2 linked regions of the Lytechinus pictus genome follow. The protein of the gene in region 1 purifies or fractionates together with the protein of each later gene. This does not show direct contact. Links are inferred from orthologs where the notes say so. Each region holds a gene or a part of one and is shown in the gene's direction. Other genes may lie near its edges. The genes, in order: dynamin-binding protein-like and bridging integrator 3-like.

Region 1 (13,082 bases):
CTATGTTTCATAGTGTGACTTAAAAGTGATTGAAAAATCCAGAGTCTCGCGGGCCGGATTGAGAAGCTCCACGGGCCGGATCCGGCCCGCGGGCCGTAGTTTGAGAACCCCTGATCTATAGGGTGGTGAGGCATATGAATTGATTGCATCGTGAATGATTGATGGGTTGACCATCTATAGGGTGGTGAGGCATATACATTGATTGCATCGTGAATGATTGATGGGTTGACCATCTATAGGGTGGTGAGGCATATACATTGATTGCATCGTGAATGATTGATGGGTTGACCATCTATAGGGTGGTGAGGCATATAAATTGATTGCATCGTGAATGATTGATGGGTTGACCATCTATAGGGTGGTGAGGCATATACATTGATTGCATCGTGAATGATTGATGGGTTGACCATCTATAGGGTGGTGAGGCATATAAATTGATTGCATCGTGAATGATTGATGGGTTGACAATCTATAGGGTGGTGAGGCATATACATTGATTGCATCGTGAATGATTGATGGGTTGACCATCTATAGGGTGGTGAGGCGTATACATTGATTGCATCGTGAATGATTGATGGGTTGACCATCTATAGGGTGGTGAGGCATATAAATTGATTGCATCGTGAATGATTGATGGGTTGACCATCTATAGGGTGGTGAGGCATATAAATTGATTGCATCGTGAATGATTGATGGGTTGACCATCTATAGGGTGGTGAGGCATATAAATTGATTGCATCGTGAATGATTGATGGGTTGACCATCTATAGGGTGGTGAGGCATATAAATTGATTGCATCGTGAATGATTGATGGGTTGACCATCTATAGGGTGGTGAGGCATATAAATTGATTGCATCGTGAATGATTGATGGGTTGACCATCTATAGGGTGGTGAGGCATATAAATTGATTGCATCGTGAATGATTGATGGGTTGACCATCTATAGGGTGGTGAGGCATATAAATTGATTGCATCGTGAATGATTGATGGGTTGACCATCTATAGGGTGGTGAGGCATATACATTGATTGCATCGTGAATGATTGATGGGTTGACCATCTATAGGGTGGTGAAGCATGTAAATTGATGGATCAACGACAATTTAATTTCACAGCTTTATCAAGAGGCTCTTTAATGGGATGAATGTCTTCTTGCCTATAATCCTCAAATTGGCATCAATTGTTAATAGCTTTCTACATAAATTTTCATGCTTATCATGAATAAATATATATGAGTTTATATGATAAAAAGGTACAATTATAAAGGTACCAAATTTTGGAACCTTGAACTTCAAGCCATGGATTTTTTTTATGTTAACATTTGAGAGTACATTGTAGCTCAATTCTAAGGCTAGTAATTTAAATGGACCAATGACATTTTTTATCTTTAGACTCCCTGGTGGAATGAATGTTTTCTTCATTCATTAATCTGTACCAGCTTCCATAGCATTATTAGCTTTTGATCCTCAAATTGGTAACCATACAGATTCATTTTTAACACTTTGAAAAGAAAAAAAAACATTATACATTATAACATGATAAGACATGGGGAAAGAAGTTAATTAAAAGTTGCCATGTATCATTTTACCCGTGATTTTTTTTTCATCATGCTTATTGAGATACAGTCATTAACGATTAATGCACCAAAGATAAATTGAAAGCTTCAATAATGACAGGCTACATGTATGGATGCCCTCTTTCTTGAGTAACAATAATAATATTTATAGGCATTTACATATTGCACCATCTATCTAGAAATAATCTATTCCGAGGTGCATTGTTTATTATTTTTACCCCAGCTTTTAATAGCTTGAGCTGCCTTTCAGCACTCAGTGCATTCAAGGAATTAATCCTGCCATCATTGCCATGTACATGTACACATTCACCTCACCTGGGTTGAGTGCAGCACAATGTGGATAAATTTCTTGCTGAAGGAAATTATGCCTTGGCTGGGATTCGAACCCACGACCCTCTGTTTCAAAGTCAGAAGACTAATTCACTGGGCCACAAAATGAAATTGTGCACAGTGTATTTTACATTTTGCATTCATTAGGAAACTTGAGTGAAACTTATCCCCAATCTGTAATTTTTAATAGATTGAAATTGAATGACAAATGATTTTAATACTGAAATGTATTATTGTTAATATATATATACAGGGTCGTTTCATTGTTTAGTTTGAACACATTGTTTTCAACAATTCCGTGTTTAACAAATGATACACGAGTCAACGTGAAACATTTCAAACAGAATATAAAAAAACATTGCTAAAGAGAAACCATTTGATTTGTTCCTTTGGTTTACATGTACACGATTAAAGACATCACACTATTAAAGTGGGGACCTACATGTAGCGTTGGTCACTAGTCACTACCCCCCCCCCCCCACCCCTTTTGAATACAATATAGGATTTGATCATTATACGTATACAGGTACACACAGAATTATTCACAGAATAATAATTGATGATTTTTTTTATAAAGCATACTAATCTGCACAAAGTGGAGATATACTGTCTTTTTTCTATTATTAGAAGTACAGGGTATGGAAGAAAGAATGAGATAACATAAAATGAATACAAACTAAATCTCTAGCTGGTTTAAAAGTAAAATATCATGTACATTTCAAATATATGAAATATTAAATTACATATATGTATAGATATTGGGCAATATATATAAGTATTGATAATTCAAAGCATTTTTTTTTTCAATTTTACTGTGTACATGTCATAACTTTGTACATTATGTGAATCATTGTTTAATCCTTTCCTCAGTGAAAGGGAGTACATTCCTTCCCTGCTCAGTGTGTTTAATACACATGTATTTGACCTCTACAAGTGGCCAGGCTAGCGCATTGGATTAGCCAGGCGTTATTAGAAGCAGTAGAGAAAACTGTTTGTATGCAAACTGAATGCGGCACTGGACGAATGAATCAATCAATATACATTTATGGTGAGCATGTAGAGATAGCCATGGAGCTTATAGGGGCTTCATCCACTGCACGTGTGTACTGATGAATGCTATGGCTTGATGTACTGTAATACAGTGAAACCAGTTTAGTATGAAATGAAACTTCCCAGTTCAATTGTACATTTATACCTTTTACAAAAAAAGAGAGACATTTCCATGATAAATGAATTAGAAAATAATGCAAAATAGTTGTTAATATCTTGTACGTATAGTGATGAATTGATACTGATGATGATTTCGATGATTGGTTTGATAACGATGAACGTGTACATATGTTTCATAAAGGTATGATTAGTAATTAGTACAGTGCAAATAACAATGATAAAAATAATGAATAAGTGACGTTTCGGGTTTCCATCCATTTGAGCGCTGAATGTAGCCTAATTGTCGGTGCCCTTTTTCCTCTGTAAAATGACGAAAAAATCCACTTCATAATTTGGAAATAATTTGTAATCCTTTAGATTTCTACAAAGCATTGGAATCACAGTAGGTCCATGGAATCACAACCCTCCTGATGCAGTGTGACGTCATTTTATTGAGGCAAAGTACTCAGCTGTCAAGGAGTGAATATGCAACTTTAAAACATTGCTGTACTATGTAGCCTTTTCACATTTGTCAATGTCACTTTTAGCTCTGGTCTGGATCTTTATAATGGATGATCTACTCTATGTGAACAACCCGTGTGAACAAAAGATACATTATCATACAAAGGGTGAAAGGAATTATATGTACATGTATGTGAACAACCCCTCTGATGACTGAATACATTATCAATTTATCATAATTGATGGTCAAATGTGAATGACCCCTTTGAACTCGGATATATCATAGAAAGGGTTAATCTGTTCATGTGAACAACCACTTGAGGAAAAGATACATAATCAGGAGGGTTGACCTGTTCATGTGAACAACCCTTTGAGGACAAGATACATTTTTATGAGGGATGATCTGTGCATCTGAACAACCCCTTGGAGGACATTATAGTGAGAGATGATTCACTGTAGCTGGGTTGTATATTAAAGCAGTGAGGGATGATCGTTGGATCTAATCTCATTCAGGGGCTCAACTAATCAATAAAGACTAATATCCTGCATGCATATATTGTGATAGAGGGAGGGATGGATAGGGAGAGAGGGAGGGATGGAGGGATAGAGGCTGGGTGAGGGAGTGATTGAGGGAGGGAGGGATGGAAGGAGGGACAGTGGTAAGGGTAGGTGAGGGAGTGATGGAGGGAGGGGTGGGTGGGGTGGGCAAGGGAGGGAGGAATGGAGGAAGGGATGGAGGGAGGGGTGGGTGAGGGATGAAGGGGGGGGAGGGTGTGAGGAGGGAGGGGTGGGTGAGGGAAGGTGGAATGGAGGGGTGGGTGGGTTGGTGGGTGAGGGAAGGAGGGAGGGAGGGATGAAGGGAGGGGAGGGTGAGAGATGGGAGCGAGGGAGGGATGAAGGGACAGTTGTGAGGGTTGGTGAGGGAGGGAGGGAGGGGTGGGTGAGAGGAGGGAGCGAGGGTGGGGTGGGTAAGGGAGGAAGTAAGTGAGAGATGGGAGCGAGGGAGGGATGAAGGGACAGTTGTGAGGGTTGGTGAGGGAGGGAGGGAGGGGTGGGTGAGAGGAGGGAGCGAGGGTGGGGTGGGTATTAAAGGGAGGTAGTAAGTGAGAGATGGGAGCGAGGGAGGGATGAAGGGACAGTGGTTAGGGTTGGTGAGGGAGGGAGGGAGGGAGGGGTGGGTGAGAGGAGGGAGCGAGGATGGGGTGGGTATTAAAGGGAGGTAGTAAGTGAGAGATGGGAGCGAGGGAGGGATGAAGGGACAGTTGTGAGGGTTGGTGAGGGAGGGAGGGAGGGGTGGGTGAGAGGAGGGAGCGAGGGTGGGGTGGGTATTAAAGGGAGGTAGTAAGTGAGAGATGGGAGCGAGGGAGGGATGAAGGGACAGTGGTTAGGGTTGGTGAGGGAGGGAGGGAGGGGTGGGTGAGAGGAGGGAGCGAGGGTGGGGTGGGTATTAAAGGGAGGTAGTAAGTGAGAGATGGGAGCGAGGGAGGGATGAAGGGACAGTTGTGAGGGTTGGTGAGGGAGGGAGGGAGGGGTGGGTGAGAGGAGGGAGCGAGGGTGGGGTGGGTATTAAAGGGAGGTAGTAAGTGAGAGATGGGAGCGAGGGAGGGATGAAGGGACAGTTGTGAGGGTTGGTGAGGGAGGGAGGGAGGGGTGGGTGAGAGGAGGGAGCGAGGGTGGGGTGGGTATTAAAGGGAGGTAGTAAGTGAGAGATGGGAGCGAGGGAGGGATGAAGGGACAGTTGTGAGGGTTGGTGAGGGAGGGAGGGAGGGGTGGGTGAGAGGAGGGAGCGAGGGTGGGGTGGGTATTAAAGGGAGGTAGTAAGTGAGAGATGGGAGCGAGGGAGGGATGAAGGGACAGTTGTGAGGGTTGGTGAGGGAGGGAGGGAGGGGTGGGTGAGAGGAGGGAGCGAGGGTGGGGTGGGTATTAAAGGGAGGTAGTAAGTGAGAGATGGGAGCGAGGGAGGGATGAAGGGACAGTGGTTAGGGTTGTGAGGGAGGGAGGGAGGGGTGGGTGAGTGGAGGGAGCGAGGGTGGGGTGGGTAAGGGAGGTAGTAAGTGAAAGATGGGAGAGAGGGAGGGATGGAAGGAGGGACAGTGGTTAGGGTTGGTGAGGGAGGGAGGGAGGGAGGGGTGGGTGAGCTAAAGAGAAGAGTGAATACATATGAACTGTGTGTAGATGGCAAGGGTGAAGGGAGTGTTGGTGACGTGAAAATGACGACATCTCGAAATTAATCACATTCTATTTCGACATACTTGTACAGGCCTATTATATGTGAAAACCTGAGGTGATAATCATAAATAGGACGAATAGAAAATGAATGATGAACAAGTATATTGTGTAGTGGTAATGAGAGCAATAATTTTGTTAGGAATACATTTAGGCTACCACAAACGAATTATAAATTGGCTATATGTGATCAAGTGCTACATAGGCTACATGTTTGTATCTGGTAGGTTTCCAAATTGGATTAGCACTAGAGCAGTATTGAATTACTGAGTACACATAGAGATCATGCTTATTTGCAATCATATCACACAGGAACATTCTAATATGAACTTAAATACCTACATGTACAGTATGTATTTACTGTACATGTATATGATTATTTCACATTTCATTGATTATATTATACAGTATGCTATGTAAGGTTGAGTGTTAATCCAAGTTAATTGCTTGATTACAATTTCCTGTGTGTTTATAAGACATGTGATAGCCAAGTGTCATCTGATTCTAATTGTCACTTTCATGTTTAATAAAGGTTTCTAAGCAGGATCGAGTTGAAGTCAGCATGTCTTTTTAGTTGAAAAAATAATTCCTTGTCAAAACTTTCCTCTAATACCCCTTTCATAAACCCATCCTCCAATTAGCCGCCTAATAGTAATGCGGATAATTCAATAAGAATTGCGTTCACAAACTCCGAAAATAATCCGCACTATTTTTACGAGCGCCCGTCCTGAAAAAGGCGGATAATCGTCATGACAACTGCACACGCGCCCTCCGATGCGGTTGTGTTGGAAAAGGGTGACCTTATGACCGCACCATGGCAATTATCCGCATTATTTGAAAATGCGTTCATAAATTCAAAATCTGGTCCCGATGCCGCTATTATGCGGATAATTGCAGCATCAAAATAATGCGGATAACTCTGGTCCTCCTCCGATTTTACGACCAAATTATGCTGCTATTAGCCGCATAATTGGGTTTATAAAAGGGGTATAACTCTCTATCAAATAATAGTAAACATTTACATTATTATTTTTTTATTCATTTTCTTGATTTTTTTCTCACAATGTATTTGCTTAAACATCATTATCGTCATTTTTACATTTGTTTTATTTATTTACATGTTTATATATGTATTTATTTATTTATTTGTGTATTATTTTTGTTGGGGGATACAGGGCTATTTGTGCTCTTTTGTTTTTGTGGGAGAGGGGAGAACTTCCCCCTTGCCTTGGCTATATTGCACTGTAAACACTAATCCTACATTAGGGTCTAGATAATCTTTATTAATTTATTATCGTCAGGGGAATGTCAGGGACACAGTTTATTATAGGACATGCACTCTCTTAGTTTACATTGTCCTTCAAATGGTTATGATCAAACCAGAATGATTCACTTTGAGTATAGTTTATATACATAATAACAATAATATTTTTTTGCTCATATTGTGCTTAACAATAACACTTTCTTTATCAGAAATCTCTCGGTGCTTTGCAGTAATGCAGTATAATTATCCTCATTTTTATTTTACTAGAGCAGCTGTCTAGATACACACTCTGCATTTGAAGAAATAAATTTCTATCAGGTACCCATTCACCTCGCCTGTGTTCAGTGCAACACAATGTGGATAAATTTCTTGCTGAAGGAAAACACACCATGGGTTGGAATAGAACCCACGTCCCTCAGATCCAAGATGAGTCATAACCACTAGACCAGGATACCCCTATATAAAACCTTTATTCTCTTTATTTTGTTGTAGGTGCCATAGCGACCATCATGGAGGTGGGCTCGCGAGTGGTGGCCATCTTTGATTTTGAGACGACGGAGCCCGGAGAGTTGGCGTTGAAAGCGGGAGATGAGGTTGATATTACGTCGAGAATCAATGAGAACTGGATAGCTGGGACATGTAATGGAAAGACTGGTACCTTCCCTGCTAACTTTGTCAAGCCTGTTGATGAAGCAAGCTCAAACGGTGAGTTTTATCATCATAACCTCATCATCAGTATCATCATTGTCATCATCATCAGCACCATCATCATCACCATCATCACCACCACCATCATCATCATCATCATCATCATCGTCATCACCACCATCATCGTCATCACCACCACCATCGTCATCACCATCATCATCATCACCACCACCATCATTATCATCATCATCATCATCATCTTAAATTACTGTCAATATTTAGTGGCAGTCTTTGGCGGAGGCACAAGTGGTGCATGCCGCCTATATATATTTTGAGAATTGCCCATGGAATTTAGATGTCAATTTTGGTACTCATTACAAAAATTGTCATCTTTGCCCCCTCCATTTTCAAATTTGCTATTGCCCCCCCCCCCCCAACTCTTCATGTATTTCAAAATCCTGGATTGTCATTATCTCAAGATGGGGGCACATGGTATCAACGCCCCTGATATATTTTTAGAAATTCCAATTGAATTTACATATTATTGATATTGGTATACATGTACATTATGAAAATTATTATCTTCCCTCCCCCACCCTTTCAAATTTGCTATTTGCAGTCCAGGGGGAAAACTACACGGGCTGGGGGAAAACTACATGGGCTGGGGGCAATTTTGCCCCTCCCCTCCAAAAAAAAGAAATTGTCAAAAGATCCTTGGAAACTAAAAATGGGGCCCTGAGAAATGTCAATTCATTGCTAAGTTAAGCTTATCCAGTAGGTTGTGAAAATCTGAAGATTCTTTGTCATGACACACCTTTAAGACTCCCCGTAAAGGGCCGTAAGGAAGATGTTTTTCTTTTTATGGGGGGGGGTGGGGGTGGGTGGGTGGTGGTGTTGTCACTGTTGTGTGTACATAAGACCCTTTTTACTTTTTGATTCAATGATATAATCATTATTTTATTTTAATTTACTAGGATTTACACCGTACAAATATTTTTCTGGTTTTTGTCTCGCCTGCATAGCAGAGCAAGACTATAGGCGCCGCTTTTCCGACGGCGGCGCCGGCGGCGGCGTCAACATCAAATCTTAACCTAAGGTTAAGTTTTTGAAATGACATCATAACTTAAAAAGTATATGGACCTAGTTCATGAAACTTAGGCATAATGTTAATCAAGTATTAGTGAACATCCTGCTCGAGTTTCAGGTCACGTGACCAAGGTCAAAGGTCATTTAGGGTCAATGAACTTTGGTCAAGTTGAGGGTATTTGTTGAATTACTATCATAACTTTGAAAATTTATGGATCTAGTCCATGAAACTTGGACATAAGGTTAATCAAGTATTAGTGAACATCCTGCCTGAGTTTCAGGTCACATGACCAAGGTCAAAGGTAATTTAGGGTCAATGAACTTTGGCCAAGTTGGGGGTATTTGTTGAATTACCATCATAACTTTGATAATTTATGGATTTAGTTCATGAAACTTGGACATTAGGTTAATCAAGTACCACTGAATATCCCCTGTGAGTTTCAGGTCACAAAACCAAGTCAAAGGTCAGTTAAGGTCAATAAACTTAGGCCATGTTGGGGTAATTGTTGAAGTGCCATCATAACTTTGAAACTTTGGATAGAGTGAATGAAATGTGGACATGGGTGTAGTTGACAGTCTTAAGTCTCCGTTCAAATGTCATTTATGGTCAATGAACGTGGTATTATGTCATTATATGAATGATGTTTTTGTGAATGATTATTTTATAGTAATTTTCAAAGTTAGCACTGCTGCTATATTAAATTGCGTAATGCAGGCGAGACTGCCAGAGGCATTCCACTTGTTTATATACTTTTTTGTGATTTCTGTTTTTTAATTTAATATATAACATGTTAATTGTCATTTCTGTATATGTATATTAATTGTATATTGATTTTGATCTGGAGAGATTCAATCTATCGTTTAAAATGACCTGAATTGGTTTTATCACCATGGATCTTGGCTTCATCAAGACGGAGATCATAACCGAGATCATAACCGAGATCATAACCGAGATCATAACCGAGATCATAACCGAGATCATATAGCTCTATTAAAAAGAGTCACCTAATTTTCATTCTTATGCAGGTAGAGTGAAAAGTAAACAACTTTTATAATTAAAGCACTGTTAGCATTCAAAGTTAAAATGGCTCTACAAAAATGAATACTATTCAGGGTGTTACATAAGCACTTGCCCGGGGCAAGTAAAAGTTATAGTCGGGCAAGTGTTTTGAAGTAAAGACCAAAACTACTTGCCCGAATTGGGCAAGCAAAATTCTCACAGTAGAATTACCAAAATTAGGGTCAATATGATATACCGACCCTAAATTTGGTCATGGCGGGCAAGATGAAATCACTTTTTAAAAAGAAATGCAAGAACAAGGTACATCAGTTCATGTCAAAAGAGAAAAAAAAGTAAATTTTTTTTGCAAGAACAAGGTACATCAGTTCATGTCAAAAGAGAAAAAAAGGTCAATGGTTTCTAGGACCATAATATTTTCTTTTGAAGAAGTAAAACTTTTTTCAAGGATTTTTTTGGGCAAATGAAATAGATTTTCAGGCAAGTATATTCCAACTATTTACACATTTACTTGCCCAACAGGCCAAGTTCATCTAAAAAGTTATGTAGCACCCTGCTATTGATTCTTATTTTAAAGGACTTGCTTTTATTTTTTGTTCATTTATATTTATATGTGCAGTATCAGAGAAGAAATCCACTTCATATCAAGTCACAGCAGTACAGGATTATGAGAGCAGCACAGAGGGCGATCTCTGCTTCAAAACAGGTGAAATTAATTAGTAGAAATATTATTTTTGCTTGATTATGGGGGAGGGTTATAAATCTCAATATTACACTATCTTGCGTTGCCATGAAATTTCATGAGGCATAGTCTGAACAATGTAAACCCTATTGGGTACTGGGTCTGCCGAGTCGACACCGATATACGTATACTTGTATATATCGGTGTCGCTTCGGCAGACTACATGTACATGTACTGTTAGTCTTAACCAAGGAATAAAACCAAGTCATGAGGACTTGTCAAAAGGCTTTGAATGATGATTGATGATTGAAAATTGGTGATTTTTCATTTATTAATGATTAGATTTTCGCAATGTTGCCAGTTTTTAGCATACATGTGTAATAATGATAATAATAGTGATAATAATAATAATTGGCATTCATATTGAGCCATCCATTGAGAAATAATCTATTCTGAGGTGCATTGTTACTATTATTATTACCCCGGCTTTAGCTCAAGCAGCCTTTCAGCGCTCAGTCCATTTCAAGGAATTAATCCTGCCTGGTATCCATTCACCTCACCTGGGTTGAGTGCAGCACAAAGTGGGTTAATTGTTGCTGAAGGAAAGCACGCCATGGCTGGGATTCAAACCCACAAACCTCAGATCGAGAAACGAGAGTCCTAACCACTAGACCACAACGCCCCCACATAGGTCTGAATTCACAAAGGTGGTTTTGAAAACCCACGGTTGAATCCTTGGTTTATGCAGAGTTCCTGTATAAATTACGCTTACTTTAGCGCGTATCGGGCGCGTGTATAACAAGTGTCCAATGCTGATGCACGCTTTTGTCACAGTGCGCCAAATTGACGCCTGTTACCATGGTTGGATACGCTATTTTATTCATGAGTCAACTGTTTGAAGAGTGGACTCATTAATTCAAACAGTGGACTCGTGAATAAAGTAGCGTGGATAACCACGGCATCAGGCATCAATTTGGCGCACTGACAAAAGCGCGCATCAGCATTGGAATTTTTTAATGTACGCGGTAAAATAAGCGTACATGTACTTTATACAGGAAATCTGCATAAATCATGGACTCAACCGCGGGTTTTCAAAATCACCTATGTGAATTCGGGCCATAGTGATAATGCAATGATTTTTTTTTTGTATAGGTGAGGTAATAAGTGTTTCACATCAGATAGATGAGCATTGGTTGGAAGGATCATTAGGTGGTAGATCAGGGATATTTCCAGTCAGTTACGTGAGTAAGGACATCTCTCACACTAACCAACCAGCAATACAAGGTACGTCTATCTCCTCTCATCAAATTGCTTTTCATTAAAGGTCAAGTCCACCCCCGCAAAATTTTGATTTGAATAAGTAGAGAAAGATCAAACTAGCATAACACTGAAAATTTCATCAAAATCTGATGTAAAATAAGAAAGTTATGGCACTTTGAAGTTTCGCTTATTTTCACAAAACAGTGATATGCACAACTCAGCAACATGCAAATGAGTCAGTCAATGATGTCCATCACTCACCATTTCTTTTGTTTTTTATTGTTTGAATTATACAATATTTCATTTTTTTTACAGATTTGACCATAGAGACTGACTTTACTGAACCATATGGTATTAAACAATGCTAATTCCACATGTTCAGGGAGGCTTTAATCATTGTTTCACTTGACAATGAGGAGAAAATTATAATCTCATAATAAAATACAAAAGAAATAGTGAGTAGATGACGTCATCAGTCGCCTCATTTGCATAGCGACCAGGATGTGCATATACATGTAACTGTTTTGTGAAATTAAGCGAAATTTAAAATGTCATACCTTTCTTATTTTACATCCAATTTTGACGAAATTTTCAGTGTTATGCTTGTTGGATTTTTCTCTCTTTATTCAAATAATTTTTTGTCAGGGTGGATTTGTCCTTTAAGGGAGAAATATGAAAGACATCTCTTATAACTAAACTCATTTTGTTGCAGAAAGCAATTCTTTCATGAGAAAGACATCAGTGTTGATTTGACTGTATCGTCATATATGAAGGTTTAGTTAGTTTTAATACTCAAACTGAACTCATGAATAATGAAGTTTTCTTAAACTGGATATTGCCAACAGAGATTAGCACATGTGGGACAGTGTATTATTATTGCCTATTAAAAGACCTGTCACTTGAACAAGTTTTACTTTATCATACATTAAAATTTGTAACTCTATGTACTGGAAGCTATACAAATCGAGACCAATAACAAGTTGAGATTGGTTTTGGAAGAGATTCAGGTAAAAAAAAATTGTGCAAAACTATGTCAGTATAAAATAGATATATATGTATATGTTAGCAATGATACATGTATACTGTACAACTGATATATTTCCTCCCTTCCTATCCTGTTGTCAGAATACGAGGCAAGAGCCACTCAGAATGTTACAGGACAACTCAGTGAAGAACTGACCTTCATGATCGGTGACATCATCACTATTACAGGGAAGGTTGATGATGATTGGTTGAATGGAAGAATCAATGGCAAATCAGGTGTATTACCAGCAATATGTGTGCAACCACTCGATACAAACTCATTAAACGGGCCAAGGACTGATGGAACAACCCAGGGTTCTGATTTAAACTTTGATGTGTTAGATAAAGCATTCCAAGGG
Region 2 (12,289 bases), on another chromosome or scaffold:
TGGCTAACATATAGTATTACGCACTTATGTAATGTTAAAGTTTTACAATTTTGGGTTTAAAATACTGATTCACACAGTGTCAGATGTTCTTACCAATTTGGTTCAAATATGATTTTTTTTTTTTTAAATATCTTTATACATAATGTATGCAGTTATATCTTTAATAAACAAATGGTTTCTTAAAGTGTAACAAATTTCGAAATTTGATTATTCCTCAGCCATTCTAAACAGTTAAATTCACAATCAACATTTTAGTCTAAATATATACGGGGAGGGGGCAGCATTCGATTTTAGCGTTATAGTTATACATGTTTTATGTACACAGGAGCATTCAATTTAAAGACTATTCAGTGTACACGATAACAGTCATGTACTATTCTGATGACTCTGTCTGACATAAGAATATATTTATTTAAGCATTTAGAGTGCGCCGTCTATCGAGTTTCCTATTCAGAGGCGCAGAAGGAATAATTACAAAGGGGAGAGGATGTTATTTGAAATATGATGAGAATAGATATGTCTTAAGGTTGGCTTTGAATGGCTCTATATAGACTTGGCATTGCGTATTGTTGATGATAATTATTAATAATCACTGCACATCTAAAGGCCACCTGACGCTATGCTATGTAGGCTATGGAGGGGGTGACAGAGGTGTGCAGCTCTCATGGATTGCCAGATAGTTAGAGAGCAAAAATGAATAAAAGAGAGAAAAAAGAAAAGCGGAAGAAAAGAGGGAAAGGAAGAAATGGGTGGTCGGTGAGGGGGGGGGGGGTCTGGGTCATGTAACAATCCAAAATGACACAAAACTGACATCACCTTTAATTCAATGAAGTACTCACATGAAAATGATGATCTGTCGGTTATTCACGACCAAGAAATGATAATTATGTTCAGTATATCTCATGAGTGGCTATTACAAAGTGAAATATAGGCCTTTATTGATGTTTTGTGGCATTCTTTTCTCATCATGCTCATGGTGGCTGCCTCAACTAGGTGTATATTGATAAGCGCTTGTTTATTCAGATATGTTTTATATATGATACTAAATCTTAATCTATTCCAAAATTTTATTTAAAAATCCCACTTTTATTTCAACGTAGAATATCATTAGAATAAGGGAGTTTTTCACTATAAATCGAGTTGACGTAAGGTATTATTAATTTTTGTTTCAAGATCGTTGTTTTATATCTACCACGAGGGGGCGTTATTTCATCTTCTTCAATTAGCCCTCTCGTCTTGTCTACTACCCTTTTTACACACGCTAAAATTTCCTTAACCCCGTACTATAGGTGGGGCTAAATTGCCATTTAGCCCCACCTATAGTACGGGGTTAAGCTTAGCCCACTTTCTTTTTACACAGCATTTTTGCAAAGTGGGCTAACCCCACCTTTAGTACGGGATTATTTGGCCCTGCAAAAAAGCAGGGTTATCCCAGCAATTGCGGTGCTAAGAGCGATAGTACGGGGTTAAGATCGCTAGTGTAAAACGAAAGTGGGCTAAGCTTAACCCCGTACTATAGGTGGGGCTAAATGGCAATTTAGCCCCACCTATAGTACGGGGTTAAGGAAATTTTAGCGTGTGTAAAAAGGTACGAGTGAATGAGCTACCACTAGTCCGGGGTTAGCGAGTTTCGTGTGTGAAAAGCAAGCATTCCTTATCCGGGGTTAGCGATAACAATTTGGCATGTGTGAAAAGGAAAAAAAATAGTACGGGGTTAAGGATAGTACGGGGTTAGCGATAGTCCGGGGTTAAGAAAATCCTGTGTAAAAAGGGTATACCTGTTTACAGTGAATAAATATAAGTTCGCACCGGGAGTTCGTCGGCATCAGATAATTCAGAATGGCACTCATTGAGAATGGAGCAATACCCGGTGCTTAGATGAGAAGGGGATAACGAATGATTGATTTATACACTTGATAGAAGACAAAGAAGGGGGTAGGCCGGAAACTACATTTACTCTGTGCCGGGGTATTAAGAGAACTCATTAATTAGTTTTATCACGGCATGGCAAACTTTTACTTCTTATTGTTTTTCCTACAACCCTCTTTTATTTCCCCTTCTTACTCATTATTTTGTTTACTATTGAAAAATCATTGTTGGAAAGTCGCCCACTGCGACACCCCCTCCCGCCCCCACACAGGGTACGCGGAACGAATAACATGTGGGGGCTGAACTTTCAGACTGCCATCTTTCACGATTTTTTAACATTGCTGTACTGAAAATAACGTAGGAGTACAGCCCCTTTCCCCACCCAATTTGGTTCCGCGGCCCTTGTCCCGTGGCGCGACAAATGTGTGTAACCCGGGCCGTATCCAAGTCGACTACTGGGGTGGAACATGGACATCGAGAAATCTCAGGACACTTTCATTTCTTACTAACCCTCGGGCTAACCCTATGGCCTATTTGCATCTTGAAGACTTTTACCGAGGGACTATATTCCGCATCTTCCGTTTGATTGTTTTTGGTTTAGGACCCACTGTCTTTTATTCGGTCTATTCTTTCCAACGTCGAGAACATATCTAGGAGGGGGGGGGGGGTTGTTCCACTCCGGGGTTCCACTTTGCAAAACAAGGGGATTTCTTCAGCAAGAAATGGCGTGTCAGCCCCACCCCCCCCCCCAGAAAAAAAAAGAAATTACACACAAACAAAAGTTATTACTATCTAGGCACTGCTAGGAGATGACACTTCCTATTAATTCCATAGCCATTCACGTATCCCCTTTATGGTTCCATCAAACTGTGGTTTTTTTTTTTTAATGAAGGTCTTCCAATTGCGCGAAAGTCTTCAGTTAGTATATCTACACACTGTATTCGTGATCTGGAATCTGTGCATGGCATACATTTAAAGCATTTACCCGGCGAATTTACTGAAATGTCACTGCAACAAAATGATAATAGCAATGGTAGCAAATTAAAAACCTCCAGCAACGTGCCATCTGGTCGTAAAGGGATAAATAAAAAAGTCACAGGGGTAAGGAATTACACTGAGAATGGACATGATATGCAGGCCTATGTGCAATAGTGCTTGATTCTATTCTTTCGTTTAATAGGAAATCCACAATGCGATTTTACAACATGTATAGTATAAAAACATGCATAACAATTTTCTTTAAGAAAAAACATGAATAAAGGAATATATAAACCGGCATATAAATCTGGAATGACATAAACACGAATCATTGTATGTAATATGCTCTACATGGCATCAACAATAAAAACACATTTTCAAAGTAAATGGAATCACATTCACTTTCAATATACTCACATTTTCATAACAAGACATAATAAACGCGAACATTTTATGAATATACACCTATCACATTTCTCCAATCAGAAATACTTTAACAACTAAATTTTCCTTTTTTCCTGCTACTCCCTCTCTTTCTCTCTCCATTTTTGTGTCTCACCCTCTTCACCAAGAAATTCGAAAATCATTATAAAAAGTATTTTTGGTATGACTTTGAGTCCCTTTTATTATATGATATGTACATGTAAATGTATTTTCACAAAAAAAATGCATAAAATTTACACTGTAGATCTCGATGAAGCAATTCTTGGTTTGCAGCACAGTTATAAGTACATTTACTAAGTAACCTTAAAAAAAGAACTGGGTAATATTCTTCTCCCAATAAAACTTCCTTAATTAACTGGCAGTAATGAAGTAAAATAATATGATAAATTAAATTTTTAAGCGCAGCAACTACATGAATATACTCTGTTGCACTTTGGTTACTCCTATTGCTTATACAATATACTACATGTACACACAAAAATGGATGATTCAGACATACATGTACTTTAATGCTTCCCTACACAGATGGGTCTTCAAGAATGTTTTGAAAACAGGTACAGATTGAGCCATTCTAATTGTAAGGGGGAGTTGGTTCTATACATGTATTTTATTAACACACAAATACACAATCTATGGCCCGAATTCACAAAGGTCGGCTAAAGTTATACCGGGATTAAATTTAGCCCGGGGTAAACTAATACCCGGGTATAAAGTTAGTCCACCGCGCTATTCACAAACGGTGGACTAACTAATCCATGGACTAACTTTAGCACCCGGGGTTAAATCCTGGGGTAAAATTTAACCCACGGCTGAGTTATACCCCGGTGCTAACTTTAGTCCATGGATTAAAATGACGTCAAATGACGCGTTTTATACACCGGGTATAACTTTAGTCCACCTTTGTGAATTCGGGCCTATGAGTTTTAAAACAAAATCTAAGAGAAACTTGCCAAACTCCTACATCAACAGGGGCACTTGTGAAAGGGTATATTTCTCACAATCATGAAAATGTAGACAAGACAAACTTATTGTGCATTTAAATGAGTTGCATTGGAAGGGCTAATACTTGAGAAATATGATTGAGGACACTTTACTGAAAGATCATGCTTTCTACATTTCATTACAATTTAATTTTCTTTTTCTTCTTCCAGAGCAAGTGCTGCTTCAAGATGATGGAGATAAACACAATGGTTGTGTGTATGTATGTATCTTGCCTCTTGAGGACTTTTAATATTTTGATTTACAATCATATATTTTATTCATTGATATTCAGTCATGAATGAACCCTTCATGCATCAGATCAACTACATTACCAAGTTCTTCATACTAAACAATCTGTAAGGCATGACCAAGAGATGTTATATATTGTACATTTACATTTCTCACATGTTAAATGTAACAATCACAATAAAATAATACATGATTTCAGGTGAGATAAATGCACTCCAGTTAATAATGAAACACAAAGTTTTGAAATGGTTTTCATGATGGTATCAATACTTCTGGTCCAGGATATTCTACTTCATCACACCAGAAGTCAGGAGGCTGAGAGATAGACATCAACCAATCAGGATCAGAGTCTGAAAAGGATTCCAAAGATTTTAATTCTTTGAAATAGTAGCAGTCTCTTCCAATGACCGGGTCGTAGGGAGGTGAAAGTATGTCTAGAAAGGCTGCAGGTCCACCCACTGATTCTAAGCTGTGGTAGTTCCCTTCTCTTGGGGTTAGCAGCACCGCTTCCGAAGATGGTGTGAAGCGCTGATCGGTTCCCAGTCGGGTAGGAACCAACAAATGCTTTCTCGGAGGCTCGTTTTCCGGAAAGCCTTCAAACTTGGGCATTGGAAATTTAGTCCAGTCCTCGGTGATGGTGTTGAATGTCCTTACGGAAATATCACCATAGAGCACTTTGAGGAGGCCATACATTCCGGGATGGTTATGCAGAGGGATGCGACACCCATCCCGTATGATGAACACGCCCATTGTCATAACACCATCCTCGAAGATGTGCATGTATCCTACCGGGGCGCGGTGGGGAGAGTCTCCCCCAGCTGCCGTCTCAAAAGCAGCTGGATTTGGTGGCAGTCTCTTTTGTTCTATCACAGCTCGGCTGGCGTCGATGTTCAGATCAGAAGCTCGAATGTTTGACATTGTTTCTTGTAGAGCTTTCAGATGATCTTTGTTCATATTTCTGTCCTTGAAAAACAGGCGAAATATGTCTCTAGCTTGTCGTGATAATTTTTGTAGGGATGCCATCGTTAGTTTTAATGCAACAAAAACAAAGGTGGAGATGTCGATTTAAGTCTCAGTGAAATAAGAATTACAATTTAGAAGAAATATATTTCTGTTCGAAAATTCCCTTTTTTCAATTTAAAAAAAATATTTTACCGGATTTTTATTTTTATAATGACTTATTGGATAAAATTTCAAAGAAATAACTACATTTTGGGATAATTATTGTCTAGTACTAAAAGCGCTATCAAATTGGATCGAATGAATTTTGTCAATAGTCCGATAATTTTTTTTTTGTGAATAAGGAGTGTCACGGACTAGCTGCCCCAAAACGACATAAATTGTTCATATTTCCAGCTAAATAGAACATCGTGTCTGTTTGATAAGGTCTACTGTATTAACCATTATGAGCTGGTGAGTAGAAATATTGAAATTTCATGTTTTCTTTTCATTTTAGAGCAGTGTTATTTAGTTGATGTTTTCTTACGTGATTTTGATCATGTGGGACCGAAGTGAAAAATGGGTGTTGATGGGTGGGTGTACTCCCGGATGTCTCTCCCGGATGGGTGGGTGTACTCCGGGGGGGGGGGGGGGGCACTCAGTATATAATGCATAGTGGGCATGTGTCGCGGAGGGGACCCCCATTTTTACACTCAAATTTCCGTTCCAAGGCATAGCATTTTTTGTCGGCCATTCCGTGCTTTTGGGAACTGGTAGTGCCATGGTAGCCAAATTGAACTTGTCCTCCTTTCACCACGATATGTAAAGAATCTTCGCTTCGGCGATTTTGAAAAGAACTGATGCGAGAGGCTTTGTTTACGATGCGAAGCTCCTCACACAACTGGTTACCTCTTTCCTCATGCGATGTTTAACGGGCTCAGTTTGCCATGGGTGGACAAGTTTTCAGATGACCTCGACGATTCCGCGGAATTATAATCTTTGTAATTATCCATCTACCCCGCATTTCCCTGCTCTTCAAGACCACTCTGCCACTTTCACAATGTTGACAAAAACTTATATTACAAAATCGATTCACTAAATAAATCACAAACAAGATATATCTGGGGATGAATCACTTTAGTAAACTGTATTATCTACTCGTGAAAATGGGAACCAGCATAGCTGGTTCCCATTTTCACGAGTAGATAAAGACAGTTTACTAGTGAAATTTATTTCGTCAGAGTCATCACTGACGAAATAAATCTCATTGGCAATCTCTCTCTATATCTACTCTTCAAAATGGGAACCATCTAAGAAAATTCTCCTGAATTATAAATGCTGGTTCCCATTTTCACGAGTAGATAAAGACAGTTTATTAATCAGATTTATTTCGTCAGAGAATCATCACTAACGAAATAAATATTACTAGTAATCTGTCTTTATCTACTCGCTGAAATGGGAACCAGCGTGTACAACTCTATGTGGAGTTTTCCATAGAGTTGTACGCGCTGGTTCCCATTTTGGCGAGTAGAGTAAAGTTGTTTATTAAATCTAATCGCCAAAATTGGAACCATCTAAGAAAATGATTATGAATTATACATGTTGGTTCCCATTTTCACGAGTAGATAAAGACAATTTGTTAGATTTATTTCGTCAGAATCATCACTGACGAAATAAATCTCATTGGCATTCTCTCTCTCTATATCTACTCTTCAAAATGGGAACCATCTAAGAAAATTCTTCTGAATTATAATGGTTCCCATTTTCACGAGTAGATAAAGACAGTTTATTAATCAGCTTTATTTCGTCAGAGAATCATCACTAACGAAATAAATATCACTAGTAATCTGTCTTTATCTACTCGCTGAAATGGGAACCAGCGTGTACAACTCTATTGAGAATTTTCCACGCTGGTTCCCATTTTGGCGAGTAGATTAAACTAGTTTACTCTACTCGCTAAAATGGGAACCAGTGTGTACAACTCTATGGGGAGTTTTCCACGCTGGTTCCCATTTTAGCGAGTAGAGAAAAGACGGCGACGAAATCAATCTTTCTGATCTAAGCTCTTTGAAGGATTACTTTATCTAGAATCAGCGCGCCAGCTGCGGTGAAGCAGTGAACAAGCTCGAAAAGGTAGGTAGGTCATGTCTTGTCGTGAAAAAGTGTCCTTTGGAAATTAGGAACTGGTTCCCAATTTCACGATAATGCCTTTTTTGTCTTATTGAGAAAAAGAACAAAGAAAGCCGCTCCAAAGCATAGGCATAGCATTTTCTCCTTATCGAGGAAAAAGAAGAAAGAAATCTGCTCCAAAGCTTCGCATATTTTCCGTTACGCCGTTCCAGCCGTATTGATATGCTACAGTGAGCCGCAATTTTGGTGAAAAGCGGCAGCAAAGCGCTGTCCGACCATCGCCTCTGCGCTAGGGTACCCGGCGCCCGTGCAGCTGCGCTAGCAGCATGCACGTATAGGCCCGTTCCATATATAGGGATGAATACGCACTCACAGGCAGGCAACCCGTTCCAAGGACCCCCGTTTTCACAAACATTTGTAGTTCCGAAGCCCGTTCCGAGGACCCTCCTTTTACAATAAGCCCGCTCCAAGGCCCCCCGTTTTTTCGTCTCGCCCGCGGCACAGACCTACTACTTTTTTGGTCGAATACCCCGCCCCCTGGGGGTGTACTAGAGCTAGATCTAGATCTAAGACTAAGCTTCGTTGAATATATGCACAACCAAGGAGGTACATGTAGTTGCTCCAACCCATCCCCCAGTACTACATAAAGGGAGCAGTCGCGCGTGCCCCAGGCTGTGGTACATTTTACCACACTATGTTGAACGGGAATGGATGATCGATCATGCTGCCTAGCAAAGCATACCTAACTACCTCGAGCGATGTTCGTGCAGGCTCCACTTCACTACGCTCCACCTACCCGAACATCGATACGGTGAGCCAGTTCGGATATACCGAGTCACAATCATGTTCATCGTAAAAATCAAAGAAAAAAAAAAAAAAACGAGAAAGATGAATAACTTAATATCTTACTCTACACCCATATTTCACTTTATGTCCATCCTCCGGTTATCCTCAAAATTGGTGAGTTTGGGCCAGTATCTTTTTCCTCACACGTATTATTCACGGCTGATTTCAAAACATTGCATGCGATCACGATCGATCTGACATTTTTAAAAAATTAAGCATTTTTCCCCAAGAACAAGAGAAAATAAGCAAAACATTGCCAACCAACCTTATTTCACCCCACAGGGAATCCTAACAAAAAACAAAGTTATATTGGTCATTGAATGAGTGGGTAGAGTAAAAGATTAATATAACTTTGTATGTAGGATGAGTAGTTAGATCTAACGTTCTGTAAAGATGAGGATTTATTGTTAGTGTTAATTAGAATTGGATGTCTGAGTTTCTTCTAGATTCAGTAAACTTCTTACTGGAAGAAATGTTGCTGTCCAGCAAATGTCATGAACATTTTCATCCTACACAATGGCTTGCATTCTGAGCTCGGGTTTAAAGTTGTAATTAAAGGAGAATGAAACCCTTGAAACCAGCTGAATCCATATCAAAGAGAAAAATCAAAGAAACATATTGTTGAAAGTTTGAGGAAGATTGAATGAATAATAAGAAAGTTATGAGCATTTGAATGTCGAGATCACTAATGCCATGTAGATCCTCCCATTGGCAATGCGACCAAGATCTGTGATGTCACACACGTACAACTCCCTCATTACTTTAGTACTTATTTCACTTATATTCTCACTTTTATAGAGTCTATCACAAGGTGAGGTGTTCTCTTTATGAGAGGACAAGTACAGAGGTTTCACAATATTATATCATTGATGAATCGTTTGTCATATGATTAGAATGAGCAAAAAGAGATGTTTTGGGGTATATTTTCAGTGTCCAAAAGGGGAGAGTTGTTCATCTGTGACATCATTGATCTTGGTCGCATTGCCAATGGGAGGATCTCCATAGCATTAGTGATCTCGACATTCAAATGCTCATAACTCTTATATTGCTAGTCCTATTTTACTCAAACTTTTGTTGATCTTATTCTTTGATTTTTCTGCTTTCACAAAAGCTAACTTGCTCCAAGAGTTTCATTCTCCTTTAACTATGGAGTGCCAATTGGGCACAAATCTCTTTTAGTACATGTTCAATTTATTAAGTCTTAAGACACTCAAATCATGTATAACTGTCTAAGAATGATAACTGAAATGAAAGCAAAGAGAAACAAAATAGTAGTATATTAAGAAATATACACTAGCAAAATTTTTAAAAAGTTTTTGGCTCACTATAATTTTAGCACAGTCAGAGTTAGACCATGGTCTGAGTTAAACCTGACTTCAGAATATGGGCTAATGTGTCTAGTGGGGTGTTGCAAGAAACTTGCAATTGATCGCAAGCCCCAAAATCAATTGAAATGCATGCAAATTTGCAATCAATTGATTATCTCCTTCTTGCATCAACAAGTATAAATTTATTTGCTTTAGTTTAAATTGATCTATCACTTGTAAATTTCCATCTGAAATTTGCAATTGATGGCAAATATTTTCTTGCAACACCCCCTAAATCTTTTCTTCCTCTTTCCCCTGTTTTATACAGGAACTTTTTCAGTAGATTTACTGGGGCTTCTCCAAAGAAGACTGTGCTAACTAGAGAGGTGAGTCGCTTGCTATTAAACCCATATATACATACTCAATTCTTTAGTACCCAACACAGGGGTCAACCCTTTATGGTTAAAGGTTAAAGAAAGAAGTTGCAGCACACAATTATTTCATGAGAAATTCATTGAAATCAAGGTAAATTGTTGTCACCATGTTTTCATAGATCAGGATATATACATTGAAATAAACATAACTTTGTGAAATCATGAAATCTTAGTTGAAACCGATAATTCGGATGATCATTAACACAAAAAGGCATGTGTGGGAGAGTGTATTAGTATTGCATGGAATTTTTTTTACATTTTATGGAATTATGTGCTAATTTGGCTAATTTCTCAGCAATTACACCCTTTTTCAAGAGCCATTTGGCACTTATTTCTTATTTTGTATATGTATACAAGCACTTGGGTGGTTATTTTATTGGATTCTGTTTGAACTCATTTTGAAATTGTTACCACAACTGGCATCGATAGCTCTGAAGTACAAATGCACACTGATTAAATGTGACTCCTTGCTTTCTCAATATTTCACTTACAAAATATGTGTATATCAATGTTTTCAGCATGAGGATTATGAGAACATGTGCCTATTTCAGTTGTAGAGCTCTTGCCTCAAAATGATAATGGAAATTCACATTTATTGCTCTGGAAAGTCAGGGAATTTTGAAATGTGTAAGTGTATGAACCCTTTGAAGAGTGTAGACCTCTTGCCCTCATGTATCTTGTTTAACCGTCAGAAAATCAGGTTCAGTTTATGGTATACATGAGTGCATTGTGCCCCTTTTCAGGACTAGTTTGATTCCAGTGAAAAATGAAAAGTTTACATTGTTTTCATCCCCTTCCCTTTGTTTGCAGGAGGAAAAGGATTTTGAAACTGAAGTGAATAAAATTGAAGTGTAAGTATCCTATTGTTTTAAGAATATCTAAGCTTCTTTTTGTTTGTTTTATTTTTAAAAACCTTTTTTCATGTTATGAGCCACTGAGTTGTGGTTTTCTAAACTGTCATGGAAATACATGAATGATAGCATTAATGATGATTGATGATGTTGATGATGTTGATGATGATTATTATTATGATGATGATGATGATGATGGATGATGATGATGATGGATGATGATTATGATGCTGTTGATGATGGTGATGATGTTGATGATGATGATGATGATGATGATGATGATGATGATGATGATGATGATGATGGTGATATTTGCTCTAGCAATAGATGCTTTAGTGGAAAATCAGCACATCATGCTATAAAATCGACACAATTATTCATGCTTCCAAGTAATCATGACATTATTTTGAATTACATATAAAAGAACTCTTCCACAACCCGAAGAATGATTAAAAATGAAACAATTCTCACTTGAGCAAATGATGAGTCATCCCTTCAATGAGAAATTCTAATTAGCTGTTTTACTTCCAATCAATGAATAGGTTGGATGAAGCCACCAAACGCTTGTACAAGGATATGCGAAAGTGTATTGAAGCGATGACCTCGCTGTCTAAGCACCAGTGTCGAGTGGCTCACAACCTAGCTGCTAGTCCCATCCTCAACACAGAATCCGACCTCAACTCCTTGGAGGGCATCAGTGCTTCCATCAGCAAGATAGATGAACTCACACATGAACTGGTAAGGGAGGTTGCACAGACTTGCTGCAAGTGATGCAATCAATTACATCTATGGAAAGACAGCAAGGTCCTTTGTAGCTTCCATCGTAATTGATGATGATGCTTTCACTGGCTTTCCATTTTTGAGAGTGATTGGATCATTGACAGCTCTTTGTAAAGAAGGCAATGGGGCTTGTTGGTAATACTGTTATTTGGTGATGATGATTTTGATGGTGATGTGGTTTTAAAGTAACGATAAAAGTGACAATAGTAGTGAGAACTGTGGAAGAAGGGGGAGAAATATGAGGATGGCAGTAAAAGGAAACTCATGATGGATAAAATATTGTTGTGATGAGAAAATTGATGTTCGTGATCCAATCAATTACATGTACAGCTACATGTATAGAAAGCCAGCTAGACTACAATTCTGCATCATCAAAGAGCAGTTTGTACATGCACTCTACCTTGTAAAGAAAAAGGAGTTTACTGGCTGAAAAAAAAACAATGATGCATGTAAGATTGGAGAATGTTTTGAAATGGATATA

What was found.
Region 2: the proteins of dynamin-binding protein-like (region 1) and bridging integrator 3-like purify together in Homo sapiens (co-immunoprecipitation; 5 studies listed by BioGRID and IntAct, counting the BioPlex papers as one, with this or other methods). This does not show direct contact. The link is inferred for Lytechinus pictus from reciprocal best matches to the Homo sapiens genes DNMBP and BIN3.

The regions. Positions count from the first base shown.
Region 1 is NC_087250.1:26,929,208-26,942,289, reverse strand, and holds the start of dynamin-binding protein-like, read left to right. Parts: upstream 1-7,501; 5' UTR 7,502-7,515; coding exon 7,516-7,711; intron 7,712-10,377; coding exon 10,378-10,464; intron 10,465-11,592; coding exon 11,593-11,724; intron 11,725-12,825; coding exon 12,826-13,082. UniProt on the Homo sapiens protein: Plays a critical role as a guanine nucleotide exchange factor (GEF) for CDC42 in several intracellular processes associated with the actin and microtubule cytoskeleton.
Region 2 is NC_087256.1:23,592,445-23,604,733, reverse strand, and holds the start of bridging integrator 3-like, read left to right. Parts: upstream 1-5,785; 5' UTR 5,786-5,926; coding exon 5,927-5,934; intron 5,935-10,071; coding exon 10,072-10,129; intron 10,130-10,987; coding exon 10,988-11,028; intron 11,029-11,570; coding exon 11,571-11,766; intron 11,767-12,289. Other genes in the region: 2-aminoethanethiol dioxygenase-like, read right to left, coding at 4,774-5,544. UniProt on the Homo sapiens protein: Involved in cytokinesis and septation where it has a role in the localization of F-actin.